2 linked regions of the Danio rerio genome follow. The protein of the gene in region 2 binds, or shares a complex with, the protein of the main gene of each other region. Links are inferred from orthologs where the notes say so. Each region holds a gene or a part of one and is shown on either strand. Other genes may lie near its edges.

Evidence for each region.
Region 1: ik (region 2) and zmat2 share a complex: the UniProt entries of both Homo sapiens proteins name them as parts of the spliceosome B complex. The link is inferred for Danio rerio from reciprocal best matches to the Homo sapiens genes IK and ZMAT2.

The regions. Positions count from the first base shown.
Region 1 is NC_133196.1:32,945,511-32,953,479, reverse strand, and holds the start of zmat2 (zinc finger matrin-type protein 2), read right to left. Parts: upstream 4,359-7,969; 5' UTR 4,357-4,358; coding exon 4,339-4,356; intron 3,358-4,338; coding exon 3,267-3,357; intron 2,763-3,266; coding exon 2,639-2,762; intron 2,553-2,638; coding exon 2,479-2,552; intron 1,439-2,478; coding exon 1,293-1,438; intron 1-1,292. Other genes in the region: slbp2 (stem-loop binding protein 2), read left to right, coding at 4,858-4,907, 5,013-5,141, 5,269-5,337, 5,450-5,533, 6,195-6,341, 6,465-6,632. UniProt on the Homo sapiens protein: Involved in pre-mRNA splicing as a component of the spliceosome.
Region 2 is NC_133196.1:47,756,089-47,763,990, reverse strand, and holds the start of ik (protein Red), read right to left. Parts: upstream 4,946-7,902; 5' UTR 4,879-4,945; coding exon 4,863-4,878; intron 1,002-4,862; coding exon 935-1,001; intron 1-934. Other genes in the region: ndufa2 (NADH dehydrogenase [ubiquinone] 1 alpha subcomplex subunit 2), read left to right, coding at 6,420-6,526, 7,322-7,428. UniProt on the Homo sapiens protein: Involved in pre-mRNA splicing as a component of the spliceosome. Auxiliary spliceosomal protein that regulates selection of alternative splice sites in a small set of target pre-mRNA species. Required for normal mitotic cell cycle progression.

The sequences.
Region 1 (7,969 bases), about 15 Mb from region 2:
CGGAACATGTTGCTCAATACTCAGATTTCACATTGATGTAAATGCCTTTATTGGCATTCTATCAGTTTATTTATGTTCGCATGTGCATGTGAGGAAAACATCACACATAAACATCAGAACTATTGTTATCTGTGAATTCCATCGGGACTAACTGCTCCTACCAGTCCATCCTACAGACACACATTCAGCTTGAGTGGGCACTTCTAGACAGGGGCGGCAGTAATATATCATACACTGCAGCTCTTAATTGTCTTAATAGAGCAAAAAATCATGTCATCAACTCATGCAGTCGATGCAGAATCATCAAAAGTTTTGCATTCACAGTGACTGTAAAGAAGCCATAATATACAACAGCACTGCTTCACATGCTAATGTTTGGCATATGATATCAGCTCAGCTGCTCGTAAGAAAACCTTCATGTAAAATTTCATGCAAATTTCATGGTTGTCTGCATAGCCGATTTACTGATTTACAAGTAAACTTCTAAAAGCGTTTCTGACATACTAACATTTTTGACAATTCTCTGCTTATTTTGTGCATGTTAACACACAAAGAAAAAAAAAAAGTCACATTTTCACATTTAATCTTCACCTATTTGCACGGCAAGTGTTTTTCAGCCACCGATAAACTTCAGTTGAAAGGTTTATTTGACCGTTTTCAATTTCAAAAGGATCCTTTTACAGCATTGTTAATGTAATTGGTCACACTTTAAAATAAGATTTCATAGGTTAATGTATTTACTAACATGAACTAATTATGTTAAAATATATGCTGTAATATAATAATTACAATACTCGTGCAGCATTTTTAATCATAGTTTAACATTTACTAATCCAAATTCATGCTTGAACTAACAAACAACATTGTTTTATTTAATGAACATTAACTGACATGGTTTTAGCATGTATTTAATTAAAACATAATTGGTTAAATGGACTTCAGCATTAATTTGGTTTGTAAAGTCTAAAAAAAAAGAATGAAAAGCTGTTTAAACAAGCACTGTCAAGAGCAGCAGGTGAGTGCAGAAACTATTGAAAATGCTGTGACAAAGTAAATTTCCATATTTTAAAGACATGGCTCAGAACAATGCCATTTAATGCAGTGCTTCTTGTCCAGTGCGAGACCCACTTCATATCAATTCATCAGTGAAGAGCATTGATTTTTAACAAATCAGATCTTAAATGTGCAGAGTTTATAATTGCACGACAGTTCACCGGAAGAGCTTAAGCTGGCTTATGCAAAGTTAAATGAAGTATGTCACAAATGAAATGAACCTCAGTTACAACACTGACCTCCTCTCGTAACTCCTTCATTCGTTCCTCAAAGTCATACTCTTTCTGCTTTTCCTCCAGCTTTTTCTTGTTCACTTCAAAACGTTTCTTTACTTGGTCCAGCGAAGAGCGCTCTACTCGCATCGACATTCCCAGATTCCTCTGATCTGTGAGCCAGCAAAATAAATGTATGGTGTTATGCACTGACATGTATTAAAAATGCCACTGACCAGTGGAGCAGTCAATAAATTTATATTTTTTAACAGAAATACAACAACTAGATATTGATTTACATGAGCAACATAAAGAATAATAATAAACAGAGCTGCTACAAACAAGTACATATAGATTCATTTGATTAAATTAAAGTGTTCATAATTTATCTTATCAGATATTACCGTTTATTTTGTGTATGACATTTATTTATATAGCATAACTACTTTCATTGACTGATGTGCTCTCCAACAAAGTTTTCAGGAACATCTGGATGATGGTAGGTGCCTATCTTTTAACTTTTATCTGTTTTCTTATAATATATAGGCAAGTCTGAAAATAAAAGCAGATTTTTTCCCCACACTGATGCCTCTTGTACATCATGGGAGAAGCCTGTGTCACTTTCGGTTAAAAGCAACCACTTGCTGGTTGAATAAAATTATCTTTAAGTCAGAATATGCCAGGGGTTTGAATAATTTCGGACTTGACAAAATATAAGTATATCTTTTTGTGACATATATGTCTGTCAGGTTTTGAATATCAAAGTGGATATTTAAAGTGTGGTTATTTTCTCCCAATAGAAAGAATCTATATTAAAAGGTATGAAATGAGTCATCAGTATTTCCAGTCCTATTTCCTGCACAAGCCTATGTAGATTTGTTACAAAGTTTCATAAAGCCAACCTGAGTACTGTTTTCTCCACCGCAAAAACAAAACTACCGTGAAGCAATGATACAGAATCAACATTTGAAATCAACTCTGAGAAATGAGTTAATAATGTAAAGTTTGAGAAAATGAAAGTGCTTTTTGACTTTGGATGGATCTGAACCTATTGTAAGAGACTTCCGCAACAAAAATATCCTTTAAAATAGAATACAATTTACGATATTGCACAGAAGGCTTTCTATAGGGAGTGTGTCTACATGCAAACCACATTTTATCTACAAGATGTTGTGCAAATTATAAGAAAGAACAAAGACCTTATAATACTTACGTTTTTTACCATTGATATGATCCAAGAAATTGATGGAATCCTTTACTACACAATCACACACATTGCAGTAATACCTTAGAATGAAAAAAAAATAGTATATTAATATTTTATTATTAATATTTATACTAAAACATAAATACAAGTTTCAGGTTACACCCACCCTCCCATCTCAGCCTGTGGTGTGGTCTTCGTGATGACGATTGTTTTCCCCAGTTTTGACTCCAGATCCACTTTATAATCTCTGTGGCGGAGGAGCTCCCGCTTGATGGGGGGCACAGGCTTGCCTGGAGAACAAAAAAGAAGAATGACATAGGAAATATTGGCCAGAATTATTTACGTTTGTAAAATATTTAGGCATGAGAGAATTATTTCAGTTTGTTGTCAGCATATGGGTTTATTTGACCATACTTCATTTAATTTACTGAATAAAGATACAACTTACATATACAAAAAAATTCCACTGAACGTTTATCAGAATTTATCATTTGTTATTATGTGTTTGAGTGAGACATAATTTTGGTTTTATTCTGTGAACTACTGATGATATTTTTTTTACAAATGTTAAATAAAATAGACATTTTCTGGAAAAAAAGGAAAAGCTCTGATGTACAATATTTATCTAATTTAATTTTTGGAAGAAATATTATTAGACTTACAGAATAAAACAAATATTTTACATTTTATATCCAATGAATTCAGAGAAATTGAGAATTTACAAGTGATCCTTTAGTTTTTTTGTCTCTGATAACTGTATATACTGAAGGGTTTTTAGGGTTGTTTTAGCTTACCATCTTTTTTCTCTCTCTCCTCTGTGATTCGTTTCTGGGCCAGCTGTTCATATTCATCCTTGTCCCATTTCCGTCGAAAATCATTCTTGGACTAGAAACGAGAATATGATTGTAAATGATGAAGGTACAATTTAAGACATTTTAAGGACCTTTTAAAGACCTCGCAATGAAAATGTAATGAATCATTTTAAGGGAACACAACATACAAACACTGAGTTGCAGAAACAATGAGTTGTATATACTTGGCTAAACTTTTAGGTTTGAATATACCAATCTGTATTATTCACGGTACTTTTTGTCACACTGTAAAAAGCACATTCTTCCTTGGTGTTCTATCCTTTCCATTACTCATGTCTAAAGATTATGAAATCATAATAGATTTTTAATAGATATGAGACTAAAATGAGCTCAGAAATAAACACTCAAACAGCAAAGTCATTTTTCTTCTTTAATAACAAACAATATATTAAACTTTTTAAATTATTTATCGAGTAAATGAAACCTCATTTAAGGACGTTTATGATTTTTATAAAGGAAAACATAAAAATATTGAGGAAAATATAAACTTTTGCGGAGTATGCAACATTTAATGCCTTAGAAAGTATAAATATCTGCTGATTTAAAACCTTTTTTAAGGGATTATTGTCTAATTTAAACTTTAAAGGCCCACATAAATCTTAATTTTAAACATTTTAATAGCATAACCATGACAGTTGAATAACGTTAAGCAAATCTACTGGAACTGCACAAAAAACGTCTGTACAAAAGATCGAACATAAATAAGCCATAATATGATTATACTAATAGATTAACTATGATTTTAAAAAGATAATACAAGGCAATATAGGTAACGAAACGCTTTACAACTGAAATATATCTGTTTTTCTTCTTGTTCACAACAAAACAAAACCATCTGGCGTCACAACATCGGCCAGTTTTTTCTTCATTCACCTTTTACGATACCAACATTTGCTAACACATGACGCTACAAAATAAATACTTTCCTAAATTACGTTTAAAGTAAGCGGATAGACTAAAATAACATATAAACAAGTCTTAACAGAATTCTTACCCCACTGCCTGACGCCATTTTGCTATGAGGATGCCGTAAAGCGTGTGCGGCTGCCGTAAACAAGCGCCCCTGCCGAACTGCTGTTACTATTTTGCCGACTGTAAAAGTGTCATCATGCTTGGTAATTGTTTTTTTTTACTTTATTTATATGTTTGGGCTTCAAATAAGTTATGCTTACATTTAGTCAAAAACCTGTTTAATGACTACATTTGTGACAAGCCTACTGTATTATTCCTCTCGTTACTTGGACAATTTTCTTCAATGTGTCTAAATAGAGACATACTATTTCACTACAAGAATTTTACATCTACATGTTTAAATCAGTGAAATAAAAACCGTTATTAAATAAAACGTTAATTAAAATAATATCGATTTGATAAATCATTATTATTATTATTTTTTTTAATAATTAGCGGCCTTACCTGTCTCATTTGTAGAGCCCCGCCCCCGTTACACCTGTCGCTGATAAAAAGCTTTGTCAAGCGCAATGTGTTGTGTGGCTGTACGTTAGCCAAAATCATGACAACACGCATAGAAAGCCTTCTTCAAAGCCCCTTTGAGTCGCGGTTGTATGTTTCAAAGCTTGTTTTGTGCCTTTAAAGTGTCCTCATGTGTTGTTGTCCTCATGTAGTATCGTAAAACACTTTGTATTTTGTTATTTTTTTGTGATTTAGAGGTCTGCCTCTTCACTTGTGGCCAACAGACGTTGCTCAAGACTTCAGTAGTAAAACCCTCTCTCTCCCATGTAGCCCAGAGCCTTGGCTGCTTCCTGGCTGCAGTTCAGTGTATGATAGTCTTGTCAGGTAAATGTGTTTCTGTTGATTTAAGGAACCTTTTTATTTATTTATTTTTATTATAATTATTATTTTGGGGGGGGGTGGAACTTGAAAATGTTGTGTTGAGAAACCCTGCACATTGTTTTTCCCTCAGCTGCTCTAAAACCCCACTGTCTGCTTCACAAAATGGAGAAAAGCCTTCTGCTGTTCAGAAGCCTCGCAGGTATGCTTTTTTTTCTTTTTTATAATTTGTTACTGGTTGTCTTGTGAATAGTTTTTTCTTAATTCCAAATGATCTGTTAGTGCCTTTAATTATTTTATTATTCACTCTTCAGGTCCTCCATCCTTGAGCGATGCATACTTAGGATGTCTACAGCTAGTGTAGCTGTTGGGACGGAAGATCTTGATGGGGTCAAGAGGTCTAACTAATCCTTTTTTTTTTTTTTTTTTTTTTTTTTTTTTTAGTTTTGAGTGTGTGTGTGTGGTTTTTATTATTTTTAAATGAAAGAAAAATGGATGTTTGTGTATTTTATTATATATATATATATATATATATATATATATATATATATATATATATATATATATATATATATATATATATATAATTTTATGTTTATTTTTTATTTATTTATTTTTTAAAGTAATTCGTCAAGTGACAACACAGCTTTACAGAAATGCCACATGACACTCGCATGTTAAAATCAAATTTGTTATGGGGTTTTGGAAACCGAGTGTTTTTTTTTCTCTTCCCCTCTCTCTACTTCACATGAAAATGTGTACAACCATGTATTGCATTATTTAAACCTGAAACACTTATGGTATTTTTTTTGTGAGGGAACATGCATTATTTTAAAAGGATAAAAATTCAGGGAAAAAAAAGTTAAAAAAAAAAAAAAAAAAAAAAAAAGCTCTATATAAAAATGTTCCATGTGTGGTTTTAAAGATGAAGCTCTAAGTTTTTTTTTTTTTTTTTTTTTTTCTAGGCATGTTCCTCAACTTAAAGCATGCAAGTGTTTTATTAATTTTTTTTTTAATTATTTAATATAATGCAAGTATTGTTTTACTCTAATGTTGTAGGTCACCATCAAGGGGAAAGTGGTATCCCCATAATGCTGACCCTTCTCATTTTGAGATCAATGAGGCTGTTTTGAAGCGTAGGCAAAAGCAGATTCAGTATGGGAAGAATACCTGTGGCTACCAGAACTACGTTCAGCAGGTTCCAAAGTGAGTTGTGGTGAACGTAAATATCCAACTATTAGCTGCTAGTGTTCACTTTTCTTCTTGGATGCCCTTCTGATTGTATTAAGAGCGTAACTAATCTTTCTGGCTTCTGTCTCCTCTGTTCAGGCGTCTGCGTGTCCCTGGAATTCATCCTTCCACTCCAAACAAATACCGCAAATATAGCCGCAGATCTTGGGACATGCAAGTCCGGCTTTGGAGGAGAGCACTTCATGCTTGGGACCTGCCATCTGCATCGCAAAATGATACTGAAGGACAAGACCCTGTTGATCAACTGTAAGTTTTATAGGCTGAATAGAGCTTTTCACACATGAAATGGTAAACGCTGTCTCATTCTCAACCTGGTAGTAAATTTAACTACATAATCTGATCACGAATATGATCTACTTGTAATTGGATCACATTTGTAATATACTCCATAATCATGGAATTCAAATAGTAAGATTGCATGTCATTTATTGCAATTTTTGCAATTGGTGGCCTTCACCAATTATTAATTCTAAGAAAAAAGAGAAAGAATTGGGAAAATTCTTATGTTATCTCTTTTTCATGTTTTTGATTGTTTGTTAATGTAATCCAGGAATTATAAACATTTCCCCCACCCCTCTGGGCTTAACCACTCTTACCTGAGTGCCGCTCATGTTACCATATTAACATGTATATTTAATTTAAATTAACTCCTAATTTGAATTTTCCAATGACTGAATTCTTGCAAATCATCAGTTTGGTAAACTTTTTTTTTTTTTTTTTTTTTATTGTTTATTATTATTATTATTATTATTATAGTATTTGCAGACATAGAAAAGGAACAGACAGACAAACCCAACGTGATGATCTGTGCAAAATTTAAAGCATGAACTGAAGGAAAATTTGTGACAAGACATGACCTATAAAAAGAGATGGCAGTGGATGTAAAAGGAGGGAGGGGGGGGGGGGGGGATACAAATCTTCAGAAATTATACATTATTAGTCTATGTTGTGTTGGGGTAAAAAAAAGACTGGATCCCACATTTTATCAAATTTTGTAGAGTTACCAGAGGTGGTATGTTAAATTCTTTCCTAATATAAAGTCAAGATGAGTTCAAGAAGCCAGTCAGAAAAAGAGGCCTTGCATTTCTCTTCCAGAAACAAAGGATAACTTTCTTAGCTATGAGCATGCCATACTGAACGGGTAAATGTACATTTTCATTTGAGAGTCTCCAGAAAATCTGACCAACCCAAAATTGCTATCATTGGGTCAGGGTTTACATGTTTTAATACACCAAATTTGTGTGTTTTTGTTTAGTTTTTGGTTTTTATGCAAGATCGTTTTGGTACAAAATCAAATCCTAGATTTGGTCACGTATTTTAAGCAGGGTTGCCCAAACTATTGAAGGGCCAACCTTGATTTCAACCAAACTTGATTTGAGGCTTGTCGGCCTAAGGAAATTACTCATGGTAGCTATGTATTTACCTTTTTTTAAGGTTTAAAAATGACTAAAACGTTGCTTTATATTAACTAAATACTTTTTTTTTTTTTAATGAACTTATTACAGTTAAAACAAACTAATTTCTAACAATTACACTAGTCGTACCTTTAATTTTCTTGCCGATGTATTCTGCAAAAAAAAAAA
Region 2 (7,902 bases):
GTGCCCGTGAAACAGCCAGCACACGCACATATTGTGAACATCTCGACATGCGAAAGTGTTTCTCTATTTGTTTTCATCGAAGTTGTTCACAATAATGATCATCCACAGAGTTTGTGATGTAGTCAAATGTTTACAAACACAAGCGCAGCCGTTTAGAGCTCATTTCTGGTTAATGATGTCAGAATTTACCCGTATTGTGGAATGGATGTGTGAATGCTCTTTTCCTGAAAATTTCCGTAACGTCCTCGCCTGTGTGAACAGCGCTTTTTTGAATATACCGGTAAAGTCGTTACGGAAATTTTCCATATATTTACCATACCACTGAGTGAAAGGGGCTTATTATTAACTATAATTCCTTTTCATTTTGCAAATGTCTAATTAAAAATGATCTGACATCCGGTAAAAACCATGAAAATGAAAAAAAAATGTGAAACTAGGGGGCGATCGGAAAAATGTCAAATGATTTATGTGGATTTTGCAATATTATATCTAGCAAGTAAAAAAATAAAGCCAAGAAGGAACATAAAGAGGCTGGCTGTCATTTGTAATATCCGCAAGCGATATGGATTACTAGATTATCATACATTTGCAGGAGCGAATGCCTCCGTGATGACTTTGATAATGGTAGTAAATGCTGCTTTGTTTATGTTTTGCACAAGCATGTCAGAGGTTCGGTTTCCCTTCTCTATGGCTGACAAAGATGTGCACCAATCAAAATAATTTAACTCCACGTTGTGACGACACATAGCACAAGCTTTGTGATTGCTCCAAATGGAGCCCTGCTGCCAGCTAGGGTTTCGGAAGTGTTATTGCAGAGCAACACGAACAAAATACAGAAGTATAAATGCCGGTACAGGTACTGTGGATTACAGTATTCACTCGATGCAGAAGTATAATTCAGCCCTATCAGCGAGTGATGGTGAAGAGCACTTACTGCAGCGCTGACCGGTGGTCCTCCACCTCATGGCCATCTGGAGCCAGAGGATTAGAGTACACATCAGCTGAAAGACGGAAAAAACAGACAGACACGTTATTAGGACATTACTGTACACAACAGAAAGAAGAACTAACTGAGGTTAAGTTGGTTTCATATTCACACATTCGTTTAGTACTTGTTACATGCTCACTATAAGGGCTAATATTGGAAAAATCTAATATTACGATTAATATTTATTACGATAAATATTGCAATATAAATACAGTTTCACAAGATCTATTTGACGGTTTTCTGGGTAGTCTAACAGTATTCGGGATTGAGGTAAAGTTGGTTTTATATTCACACGTTCATTCAATGACAACTTGTGACATGCTCCCTATATTGTTTACTATGGTACTTTGAACATTCGGTCTGAAATCGCATGCAAGTATGACTTGAAAACAACACTGGCACTATTTATTTGACTGTCAACAATGCTGTAATTTTAAAAGTCATTGGCTGCAAATACGTATTCACTAGGGATGTAACGATATTGTAAATACCGTCATACCGCAATATTAATTTTTTTCGATATTACCGTAGTCGCATGACTCGGTAAAACTATAGGTCTTCTGAGAAAATTTGCTCAGGCGAATGAAGCGAACGGGAGGTAGCGGGAACTACAATTCCCATCAGCCCAGGCGTGGCCATCATCCTTTGCGGTCTGTTGTCGCTACAGATCCAGTAATGCGGAAATGGAGTGTGCTGCTAGTAGCAGGGATGAAAAAGAGCTGGAAATGATCGAATCTAAAGCGGGTGTTGTCGCCGCACGCGTACTGAATAGCGGTGTTGTCGCGCGAGTTCTTATCAGCTGTGTTGTCGCGCGGGTACTGAATAGCGGTGTTGTCGCGCGCGTTCTGATCAGCTGTGTTGTCGCGCAAGTTCTGATCAGCTGTGTTGTCGCGCGCGTACTGTAAAGCGGGACGGAGGTTGTGTCGCTTCGCGGGGGCACTTTTGATCATTTTGGAAGGGAACTTTCTATCCAAGACTAAAAAGGGCAAGTGCACTGCACAGGTTGAGCACTGTGTGTGCACGTGCCTGCAAGTTGGGGAATACGACTAATAACAGTCATGTGGACTGCAGAAACACAGCGCACTGTTCAGATTGACGCAGACATGAGACCTCTATCTCACTCATGGTTTGTCCACTCAAGTGGGGGAAAGACAATGCACAACGTTACCCACTGCTGTCAACCTGGGCCAAGTCATATCTCTCTGTCCCAGAAACCTCAGTCCCAAATGAGAGGGTTTTTTTCTGTTGCAGGGGACATTGTAAATACCCAGAGATACCAGCTTTTACCAGATTATATTTATATGATAATTTTCCTTAAAACCCATCTCTATCTAAGTGAGTGAGTGATTAAATGTTGAATGTGATGAGTTTTCAACAATACTAAATTGAAACTTTATTTTTTACATGGTTTAATAATTTTTTGTTATTAAAATTGAAGTTCCTGTTTCAAAGCTTACAGATAGATGACTAATTTGTATGCCATTGACACTTTTGGCACTTTTTTGGAGTATTTTCATTAGTTTTGTTTTTTCCTGTAAATGATTCAATAAATACCGTACCGTGACATTCATACCGAGGTATTACCATACCGTGAAATTCTGATACCGTTACATCCCTAGTATTCACTATTCAAAATTTGCAAAGAATACTTTTTAGAAATTCTATTATTAAGGAGAAAGTCTGATTGTGTGAATATAAAACCAACTTTACCTCAGTGTATTCCGGTACAGAAATTCAATAATCACAATGCAAAAAATATATATATTTTTACTTTTTTCGTCTCATTTCTAGTCCAAATATCAACTAAATTCTTAGACCAAGTAAAAATATTGTTTTGTTTTGACCGTCAGAAGGAAAAAAGGTATATTAAGAGATTAATGAATGAAATGTTTTTTGCATGAATCATATAAAGTGCATTTGATTAAATCCTGGTCATCTATAATACAGACTGGACTAGGCATGGGCCAGCATAAGATTCTGACGGTATGATAACCTTGCATATAAATATCACTGTTTGAGATTACTGAGATTACTGCTCTAAAATATAATCTTTTTAAATGACTGGGTAAAGAACAAAACCTTTTCCCCCCTTTGTACACAATATATTTTAATTTGGGAAACATTTTAAGTATTTCAGAACAGTAAACATGTCAGGCTAAATAATTATTAGGCTGGCTTGGGAAACAAGCCAGACTACTGAAAACCTATTTAAACTTAATATTTTTATTCTTCTTCTTCTTCTGAGACTAAAATTCAAAATCTATCTCCTCCTAGAGCTTTCGAGCTATGACCACCAAACTCACACCAGACCTCCAAACTATTCTGACTCGGTAATATGCTATATCTTTTCCGACTGATCCGACTTTCGGTTTTCTGAAAAACGTCCCGGGACCGTCGGAAAAATCCCATAGACTTAACATTGGACCAAACTTTGTGACCTCATAACTCTGCGTCAGACTGTCACACAGACTTCTAACTGGGCTCATTTAACTCAGACTACCTAACTGCCAATAACTGATGAGCTTTTAACTTTCTGGCCACGCCCTAGCAACCACTTTTGGATCCTAGAAACTGTCCCATAGACTTCCATTCAAAAGACTCTCATTGACTTAACATGGGATCAAACTTTGTGAGCTCATAACTCTGCATCAGATTGTCTTACAGACTAATGGCTGAGCTCATTTAACTCAGACTACCAAACTACCAATAACTGATGAGCTTTTAACTTTCTAGCCACACCCCTAACTACCACATACTGCACCCTAGCAACAACTGTCCCATAGACTTCCATTGCAAAAGACTGTCATTGATTTACATTAGATCTAACTTTGTGACCTCAAAATTATCTGTCCTTTTTCAAACTGCTTTTATCTATCTATCTATCTATCTATCTATCTATCTATCTATCTATCTATCTATCTATCTATCTATTACTGTCTTTCTATCTATCATCTTTTCATACTTTTTAAAACTGTTTAAACTAAATAAACTATTTCCAACAGATTTTCTCAACCCCAGCCTAAAGTTTGTCTCGACGAACTTTAATAATTGACTCCTGCAGTCTTAATTAGTTTTAAAAACACAGAGTTCTTTACGATTTAAACAGCATCTTTGGAAACCTTTTCTGTTGGAGATACTGCTGACCCTAAAAATAAAAAATGTAAATAAAAAAATCTTACTCATACCTTAGGAACGGTATAGCAGAAAATGTTGACGGTTTTAAAACATTGACTTTCTCAAACTAAGGTATACTTTGAAAGCAGTTATCGTCCCATGCCTAGACTGGACATTGCATATCTATGCGATGTGACTATTGCGGATGCGCACATTGAGATATCAATGTTGAAACGATATAATGTGCAGCCCTACTCCCTAGATTGTATACCATGGTACTTTCCAATATTCATTCTGAAATCACATGCAAGAATGACTTAAAAACAACATTGGCACTAATTAATTGACAGTGAACAGTGTTGTACTATGATAGTCAATGGCTGATAATATGAATTTACTACTTTTACTCTTCTGAAATTATATTATTAAGGAGAAAGTGCAAATATAAAGCCAACTTTACCCCAATCATAAATCTGGAGTCAATTATGAAGCAGTCACTTCATTTCTGGACTCTGCAGCAATGTAAAACACTAGAGAAGTGTCTGCTTTGGATTGTTATAATGCATATTTCACTACATGTGCACTAATATCATCTTTGTATGAACATCGCATTTCCTTAACGATCTACACAGGAGACACAGGCGAGTGTTAGCAAAACATAACAGCGCAAATGTTCGCTTATTATACTAACGTTAATTCACTGTCTGTTTTGTCGCTCCCTCATCGCATAAATAAGAAATAAATTGCATATCATACTTACTTTCGCGTTCAGGCATGATGAAATAAAACTACTAGCTCCAAAACACAACGCACTCCAATGTTGATAGTGCGTCTCTTGATGTCACTTCCGCTTTTTTGTCTGCTTTCGCAGCAGCAGCGCCTCTTGTTGAGCTGGATGAATACGGTTGTTGCTAGAAGGGATACAGCTGCGGCCAGAGGTTAAAGAGAATTATTTACATTATTTATAAAATGTTCAACTAAATTGTATTTTATTAACTTTTACCTCGACTTCAATCCTGGACCCAACCCTCACAGTGATGTAAAAACCCTAATTATACCGAATATTATTCATATTATTTATTAAATTACCCATTGATTGTATTGTATTAACCTCTATCCCTACTCCAACCCTCACAATAATGTAAAAACAGTGATTATACAGGGTATTATTCATATTATTTATTAAATTATCCATTAATGCATTTTATTAACGTCTACCCCCATCTCTATGGAGGACAAAACCTTCAAAATACAATAAATAAATAAATAAATTAATAAATATGCAAATAAATTAAATAATAAATCCACAAAATTCTACATGAATAAAACAATAAATAAATAAAAGAATTATATATATATATATATATATATATATATATATATATATATATATATATATATATATATATATATATATACACACACACACACACACACACACAAATCCCTGCATAAATAAATATATAAATATAGTGTGGACAGATTAATAATTAATGCTGGAGGAATAAGAAAACTTAAAGTAGACTTTATATATATATATTTGCAGGTTTTGTTCATATATATATATACATTTATTTATTTACAGCGTATATATTTATTTATTGTTTCATTTATGCAGGAACTTGTGTATTTATTTATTTATTTACGTATTTATTTATCTATTTATTTATTGTTTTATTTTTGCAGGAACTTGTGTATTTATTCATTTATTTATTTGTGTATTTATTTATCTATTTATTGTTTTATTTATGCAGGAACTTGTGTATTTATATATAGATTTGTTTATTAATTTGTGTATTTATTTATGTATTGTTTTATTTATGCAGTAACTTGTGTATTTATTTATTCATTTATTTATTTAATTGTTGTTTTATTTATGCAGGTATTTATTTCTTTATTTATTTATTCTTTTATTTATCTAATTGTTTTACTGATGCAGGAATTTGTGTTTATTTATTTATTTATTTATTTATTTATTTATTTATTTGCGTAATTGTTTATTTTTTTGTTTTGCAGGTTTCGTCCTCCATATACCCTAACCCACACAGTATATAAAAATTATACCAAGTATTATTTATATTATTTATTAAATTACTCAATAATCCATTTTACTAACGCCTACCCCAACCCAGAACCCAACCTTTACAGTATGAATATTAAAAATAGTAATTGTTGTACAGCGTCACAAAAACCGCGTGAGCTGTATCCCTTCTATACTTTACCACACTTTCCAGTAGGTGGCGGTATATCAAATGCAGCGGCATTTGCTGCAAACAGCAGCAGAAGAAGAGCACTTCCTCCGGTGAAGGTGACAGTCATGGCGGCCGCAGCGGTGGTTCGAGGAATCGGCTCAAACTTGTCAAAGAATCTGCGTGAAATCCGCCTGCATTTATGCCAGATCTCAGCTGCCAGCCAGGGCACCAGGTGCAGTACTGACCGCTCTTATTGTGTGTGAGAATATAGGAGAGGAACTGTCCTCTAAGAGTCTGTGTGTCACCTGCAGAAATGTTCGTGTGTGTTATTATTGTTGTCTGAATGCTAGTGAGCTTTATACATTGCTCTGCTTTCAGTGAGTTTAAACAGCATAGCAGTGAAGGTTATAGTGTTCAACACCAAGTTCAAATTTATTTGTTTATTAAAAATCAGATGTGTGTTTCGCTGTTGCGTAAGTATTAAATATAACTGACCATTTAAATACAATGATTTATTCAATTCAAGTAGTCACTTGTACATAATATAGAGGTAAATTTGGTTTTATAGTCGCACATTCGGACTTTCCCCTTAATAATATAATTTCATAAAAGTATTATTTGCAAACTCTAAATAGCGAAATCATATAAGTAGCCAATGACTATTAGAGTACAGCATTGTTCACAGTCAAATAAACAGTGCTAATGTTGTTTTCAAGTCACACTTGCATGCTAATTCAGATCGAATATTAAAAGTAACATGGTAAACAATATAGAGACTTCTAAATGAACGAATGTGCAAATATAAAACCATTTTTACCTCTATGTACATAATTATTGTCTAGGGTACAAAATTTATACAGATTTGACATTTGTCCCTCATACTTCTGTCAGAAGGGGTACGAAGTTGGCTTTGAACTTCATTTGAAATGGTCTTAAAAAGGTCTTAAAAAGTCTTGAACTTCATTTGGAGGATCCTGGGGGTACCCGGCTTATGTTTTGTAATGAGTGATGTTTGTTGTTATTATAGGGACTTCATTGAGCAGCATTATGTGACTCTGAAGAAGGCAAACCCTCAGTTCCCCATCCTGATCCGAGAGTGCTCTGGAGTTCAGCCCGTGCTGTGGGCTCGATATGGTATGGAAACGCACTTAAAGGGATAGCTCACTCAATGACAAATTCTGTTATTTAATTACTCACTCTGGCTGAACGATTAATCACACGCAATTGTCATGTGCATTATTTTATAAAGCCGGCACTGTAGTCAGCTGTGTGTTGAGTTGGAGCAGCGTTTACACAATTATCAGTTTATGGACTTATCGCACAACACACGGACATGACCTCAATAATTTCTGGTGATGCAGAATATATTGCCCATACATAAAACCAATTCTAGAAACATTTTAGCTGCTTGTGCAACATCTCTATCACTATTGGAGCTGTCTGTGTCAGTATGGTTAAAGCACGGCAGTATTTACAGTAAATGACTATAGTATATTTTCATGAGGATGTCAGACGACTGAAAATAGATCTGGAAGCAGATATCACAGCCTCTGTTACTTTTTACCTTGCACAGTTTTGTTAACATTTATTATTATTTATTGAGGATTA